Linked DNA regions of Schizosaccharomyces pombe. The protein of the gene in region 2 interacts with the protein of the main gene of each other region in a pairwise test. Each region holds a gene or a part of one and is shown on either strand. Other genes may lie near its edges. The genes, in order: sws1 and SPOM_SPAC22G7.03.

Region 1 (3,558 bases), on a different chromosome or scaffold from region 2:
AGTCCCGTGTTTGCTTTTTATCGTCTCAAAAATTTTTATCAAAACCATCGTCGATATACTGTTAGCGCCGATATGTTTCAGTTGCTAGGCGAAGCACGAACTGTTGCACAACTGAAGAGCTATGGTTTCTGCAAGCCGTTAGAAGCAAATGAGGAAGGGAAACCTTATTACCCCTGTGGCATTATCGCAAACTCGCTTTTCAACGATAGCTATTCTTCTCTTCTACGATACGAATCCTTTGATAGCTCAAATTCCCTTGGACTTTACAATATGACTACAAATGGTACTGCGTGGCCGGAAGATAGAGAAAGATACAAAAAAACTAAGTACAATGCTTCCCAAATTGTTCCACCTCCAAATTGGGCAAAAATGTTTCCCAATGGATATACTGACGACAATATTCCCGATGTTTCTACATGGGATGCCTTTCAAATTTGGATGAGAGCTGCTGCTCTTCCAACATTCAGCAAACTTGCTCTTCGAAACGTTACTACTGCACTTCAACCTGGCATTTATGAAATGAATATCACTTATAACTTTCCTGTCACAGAATATAAAGGAACGAAAACTATTATGTTTTCAACAACATCCGTTATTGGAGGAAAGAACTACTTTTTAGGAATTCTTTATTTTGTTATCGGTGGGCTCTGCGCCGCGAGCGGTGTAATCCTTAGTATTGCTTGCTTGATCAAACCTAGACGCGTAGGCGATCCAAGATATCTATCTTGGAATAGAGGAAAAAGCTCATAAACGAATTTGAGTATCTTTACCATTTATTTTTACATATACTACTTCATGAACATTTTGGAATTTACTTTCCATTTAATCACTTATGCTAGCTTCGTCTTCCACTTACAATATTCTCTTTTTTATACCAGTTCAGGGTTCATGAACTTGCATCATAACTAAAGCATAACATAATCTGAATAAGACATTTTTTTTTAATCACGTTGTATGAATATCATATCGTATTTTCTTCTTTTACATTGAGAAAGCAATTTAAACGGCCCTTACTGTTAAATATCATAGTCAAGTCACAATTAAACGAATTGGGTTAACGTTTTTTAAATTACCAGATTATGGCAAGCACGTAAAATCGAAGCAGCTAAAATATGGGAACAAATCGTAGGGTGGTGGGAAAGACATCTTCCACCCCAGGTTTCTTGCTCATTTTTGGGCATTGGCTCGTCAAAAGATCTCGAGCTATTAAAAGCATTGTAAGAGAATTGAGAGCATGAACAATACCAATACTTCAAATCAATCGTAGTTTTATTATTCGAATCCACTTCACATTCCCATCGATGTAAAACTTCACCATCGGTTAATGGTAGTGGATGAATGCTTTTAGAATCCAAAATCAGCATAGCAGGTTGCCAGTAGTTACAAAATATAAAACTTAATGACAACCACAAGCTTCCAAAATCCTGGTCTTCCAACAGTAATTTTGACAAAGAGGTGTTGGGTGACTGTTGGAGCGCTTTATCTTGTAAAGAATCTAATAAAGAGCTTATAACTGAACGAATAGTGGAAGAAGGATCTAAATCTTTGTTACACAATGCCTTGGAGAAACTATCATTGTCAACGCCTTCAACATCAGGATCATTAGTGTGAGAAAATTTTGAAGATACAGGTAGAGATGAACTATTTAAAGTTTTACTGTGGTAACTATTCGAAGTAAAATGACCCTGCTGCATTGAAGTTTATTAAGACTCAGCAATGCCCCAAAACATAAAGCTCAAACAACATCCAGAAAACACAATTGATGACAATGAAGATAATAATCTAATTTATTGACTTATGCTGACAAGTTTGGATGATTGAATAGGCTCTTCAAAAAGATTAGCAAATTCGTTTCAAAGTATCACTACTTCTTTGTTCATCAACTCTTACCAAAAGCAAAACAGCAAAAATCTGCTTTGCTTTCGCTTGTTCTAATAAGCGGAAAACACGTAGCAAAGCTATAAACTAATGAAGTTGTAAAAATCACAAATTCGAGGGGTGTCTTTGTTTGCTCTAGTCAAGTATAGAAGATACAAAGTAGAGTTTAATCGTTAAAATTTTTAACTCGTTTTATTTTTCTTAACTAATATTTGCGAAAATAAAGAAAAAGGAACGAACGTTTTACAAGTTAATTTAAGTCGAAAACACTATTTCGAGCAGTTTCAGGAAAACCTCAAAAATCGGTTAGTTACAAAGGTTTCATTACTTGGGTGAAATTTAAAAGTTTTATAAACCAATTTCAAACTTTTTTATCTTTTTAAGAAAGGTGTCGCATATTTTAAAGGCTCGTGAATGGCGAGGACGGCGTTTCATGATGAATTTGTGGATTATTACACCATCCTTGGAGCGGAAAGTACCAGTAGTTATGTCGAAATTCGACAGCAATATTTAAAGCTTGTTTTACGATACCATCCCGATCGTAACCCCGGTCGGGAAGCCGAGGTTCTTCCACAGTTTCAGTTGATACAAAAAGCTCATGAAGTTTTAAAGGATCCAAAGCTTCGAGAGTTATTTGATCAAAGAAGATTACTAGAAGCCGGTCGCCCTGATGGGGTGCTGCGATTCCGTCCAAAAAAAAGTGGACCAAAGAATGATATTTCCACGAAAGTTGCATCCAAGGTTAGTGTCACAATGGCTACCAAATTTGCTGAAAAAAAGAAGAAACAAGACCGGGAAAACGTAGATTCGAAAGATAACAATATCACAAACTTCTCACTTCATCGATCTTTTTCCGCTTCCGGAAAAATGGAAAAGAACAATAGCTTTAAAGAGGTATCTACCTCAAAAAGCTACATATCATCTGGTTATTTGCATCCAAAAACGTCTCCAATTTTTAAGAAGAATGGATATGCTACTGAAAACGTGGTGGATCCAATTTCTAGTAGTCCTCGTTTTAAAGGCCCTAACTATAATAAATTTAATGCCAAGTTGTATTTAGAATCGCTTCGTGAAAAGCGACGCACCTATACTCCGTTGTCTGAGATATCCAATGGTTTGAATTCCAATGGTGTTGAAAATTCTTCAATAACAAAATCCTCTCCAAGAAGTTCTTCTTCATCAAATAATGAACGTTTTAAAGATACATCTGAAGAATCTATTATTTTTACTTCTCCAAACACTCCAGAGCACCCATCCGTTTATCAAACTGATATCACACCTGAAATAAAACTTGAGCATTCTGATAATAATTCACCATCAAAACCTGAAATTCCATTTAGACATCCCACTTCTAAACCTTTACCCCCTAAGCCCTTAAGTCGTTCTAAATCTTCTTCTCTTTCTCGAAATCAAACTCGGTCTCAGCTAAATGACTTGTCCGCAGAGAACGATTCAACATCTAACTCGACTGAGTATGATGACCAGCTTCAGTCGATACTGAGATCCCTTGCCATTGAAGGGGATGATGATGAAGTTGCTAAAGTGCTGCCCAAACCTCCATCCGTTCCAACTATCCAGGCACCCATCCCTCCAGAGGCACCGAGAAACCTGACTAATGCCTCTGTAGATAGCTATCTAAATTCCTTTGAAATGTATCAGAGACGCTGGTCGTCTTATTCT
Region 2 (3,569 bases):
CACTAACGTTTTTGTCCTATTAAATGTTAGTGATACAGGACACAAAGGAACATTACCTTATGAATTGAAATTCCTCGTTCAGCATTAACAACCGTAAGCTTTTGATGATATCCTCCTATAACAACTTCGGGATTATTACGACTCTGGTAGAACATAGCCCGGTAATCTATACAATCAGAATCCCTAGAGATTAGTACTGCATGTTTTGAACATAGAAAGCATGAATACAAAATGATCATAGATCGCTGAACACAAGGTACGGAACTACTAGATCAAGAATGCATATCATGATATACTTACTGATATCTCCATCTTATTGTTCCTTTGCGATTACTCAATCGTAAAGATTTACTAGAAAGGGAAAATACACCCCTTTCCTGTGGTAATACTTGGTGCACCGGACCCTCATGCCCAATGAATTGAGTATACGATGTTAGTGAGGGTCCGAAAGAAGATTTAATTTGACCCTAGAATTTACTTAGTTTCATAATTAATCTTTAATCTAACTTACATTTTTATGTCCAGTCCATACTAATTCTGAGTAGGGATCAAAAGCAATAGAACTTAAGGAACACGTCGATACACCATCATTTTCAGTTGTTTTGGTAATCTAATTTGTTAAAATTTATAATGGAATATTATAAAAATAATTACTTCTTTCCACGCATCCATCTCTCATTTCAAACAGTTGACTATAACCTCTTTCTCTAGGAGTTGAAGTGTTGGTCATAGCAAGCCAGGTTTACCTAATGAAAACTAGTAATACAACACAAACCTACGATTGTGATTTCAATCAGATATTAAATAGTTATATTAAACATTTGTATATAGTTGATAATCTGCAATGTTTTATATGCCTTTTCATTAGAACTAAATATTATATTAAGCGCCTGGTTATGAAAATTATAATGCAGAATGATCTTTTAAACTCATGCCACGAAAGCATGTATTAGCAAGCCAATCTACTAAAACTTTGTGTCTTCGATCGACTAATCGTCCTTCATCTTTCTCATGCGATTTTCTTTTCGATTCCCAGAATGTTGGTATCCATGTAGCATAAATAGTTTCTAAGCTAACGGTACGTTGTGTATCCTCATTAATTGAAATATCTTCAATAATAGGTATTCGTTCTTGTAAACCTCCTGTCTCACAAACTATAAGTATTTTACTATTTTGTAAGCAAAGCATCAAATACCTAGATAGGTAACGTCCATTTAAGCAACCCCTAATTTTTAGCAGTTTGGAAATATCTGCTATTCCCAGTATTAATTTTGCGTGCTTTAAACGTACTTCAACTATTTTTTCTAAATCATCCACATGAGAACAAGGAATCAATTGAATTCGTTCTAAAACTGATTGAAAATGAATGGAATAAGCTTCCTTAGCTAAAAATCCATCAAATGGATTTTCCATTCTTAGAATGTTTTCCATTGGATTAGTCGAACCTGTTGGATATACTAACACGCCTTCGTCCACATCATTGCACTCAAGGGCATTTACTAAAGTAAGCAACATAGCAGAGATACTTCCAGAATGAACAAAAATGGGGTATTCAATGCTCGTTGACCTGACCTTTCCCCCATTTCCAAAATGCTCTTTAATTAGTTGTTGCATTAAGTAGTATAAAGATAATTTACGTGTTGTGCTCAATAAATACTCGAAAATCTTAAAAACCAATTTGATCAAAAAATTTCAGCCTATTTACTTCTTTAAAAAAACGAATGTTATTTCTCGTAAATTTTAGAATAAGCAGCATTTTGCTTATCTTTTATTATACAAAGTTAATTAACTGGAGACTATGTAGCTTGGCAGTTTCCTACCAAGCTATTTTATTTATTACATGATTTAAAAGGTCCAGCTTGAATTGCCATAAGGAGTACTTTCTAGTCCTTTGCAAAGTATCCAAAATTGTTTTACTTTGTCTTTTATTCGTGCCCTAGAATTTGTTGTTAACAAGATAATCATTACATAGACGTGATGAAAACGACAAATAATGCTTACTTAAGAAGATCTGTTAAAAATCGACGTTTGATCTCATTTGAAACATTCCGTGAAGGAAATCCTTCTTCTTCAAGTGACTGAGTAAGGCATGCTCTTGTCGCAGAGAAATTTTGTGCCTTTAATTTTCCTAATATATCTGAAAGCAACGGTAAAGAGCTCCGTGATGCATTTCCACCGAACCCCTATAAATCAGTATTAGTTTGCAAAAAAAGCATAAATATTGTTTACCAATAGTATTTTAGCAATAAGAGGACTTCGAATTGCATTCACGAAATCTGTATGAGTGTTTAGGAGGTCGCTTTTTTCGGACGTAATGAATGAAATCTTAATGTTAATATTTTTAACAGATAATGATCACTTACAATAAATTGGCCGGCTGCTGATTCTAACAATCTCTCAGGCTTGCCAAGCAAATTAATCGCGCGGTTTAAAATAAGTTGGGTAAAATCTGGATACATCGTTTCTAAAAATGAGGGGTGTTTTTGAAGAATTATTGAAAAGAAGTGATATAATTCGACTGTAATGTCGATATTGTTCATAAATGATTCTATTTTAGTTAGTATGGCACATTGCTGCTAATTATTTACCTTCATTGATTATAACAACAGAATTTTGAATCGATGAGCACATATCAATTAGCACTTTGTCAATAATATCAGTCTGGCCGTAAGGACATGTCAAAATTGCTGATCCCAACGTTAGCAAAACTGCTGCCGGAAATTCTGTAAATCTGTCACAGAAGTATTGAATGGTAGTTACTATAGGCAATGAAAATGGAGAAGGCTCTACTTCATTAAGACCAGCAATCATAATCTTGCAAATTAACTATATCATATTAGTATTTTCGGTTTAACAGATCACCTACCCCAACGACGTCGGAATACTGTAACGCCATAGACTCGGAATGGGTCAAAAAGGAAATGAGTTTTGCTTGAAATTCTGCAATGCACGATTGCTGCCAAAAAGTTGTTTCCTGGGTAGATTGCTCAACATCAATTATTGGACTTTCGCCAATTGGACTCTGACTTAAGGCCACTCCGGCTACGCTTTGGAGGCAGGATTTCAAAACGTTTTCGAATATTTCAAGATTAGGATATAAACTTGGTTGAAGTTGTGCGAGAATGCAGTTTAAAAGTCTCATCAGATAACTGATTCTTAATTCAATATCTTCTATACGTTGTGTAACATATCCAACGGAGCTATAAATCTTTTCTAGCACAGAAGGTACATATACCAGCTTGGGTGTTAGTTCTTCAACCACCGCCATGAATCCGTCGATTTCAGTTAATAGATGGGATGCACAAGTTGTACATAGAGTGTGTATTGAACGAGAGACAGTCATTTGTATTGAAGTTTCAGAAATGTGTAAGGCATCGAATAAAACTGGCAAAGATATATTAAGATATTGAGGGTGATTTTGAAGAAAGCAAGAGCAACTGCTTAATAATTGAGAACAGGTTTTTAATAGTTGCGGGTTTTGGAAAGCCGAAGCCTTTATAGCAAAACTCGTTTCAAATAACCGAGTAAGCCAGGCATCTAACGTATCACTGTCATTGGTGTCGTACTCT

What was found.
Region 1: the proteins of SPOM_SPAC22G7.03 (region 2) and sws1 interact in a two-hybrid assay, tested with the Schizosaccharomyces pombe proteins (one large-scale study listed by BioGRID).

What each region holds. Positions count from the first base shown.
Region 1 is NC_003423.3:1,493,288-1,496,845, reverse strand, and holds sws1 (SWIM domain-containing Srs2-interacting protein 1), read right to left. Parts: upstream 2,017-3,558; 5' UTR 1,891-2,016; exon of another isoform or gene 1,829-1,890; 5' UTR 1,695-1,828; coding exon 1,065-1,694; 3' UTR 835-1,064; downstream 1-834. Other genes in the region: aminophospholipid translocase regulatory protein Ivn1, read left to right, coding at 1-750; random septum position protein, DNAJ domain protein Rsp1, read left to right, coding at 2,293-3,558.
Region 2 is NC_003424.3:729,983-733,551, reverse strand, and holds SPOM_SPAC22G7.03 (uncharacterized protein), read right to left. Parts: upstream 1,625-3,569; 5' UTR 1,615-1,624; coding exon 904-1,614; 3' UTR 793-903; downstream 1-792. Other genes in the region: poly(A)-specific ribonuclease complex subunit Pan2, read right to left, coding at 1-16, 57-183, 301-467, 512-610, 655-672; karyopherin Kap111, read right to left, coding at 1,846-1,936, 2,002-2,183, 2,230-2,325, 2,364-2,548, 2,589-2,826, 2,867-3,569.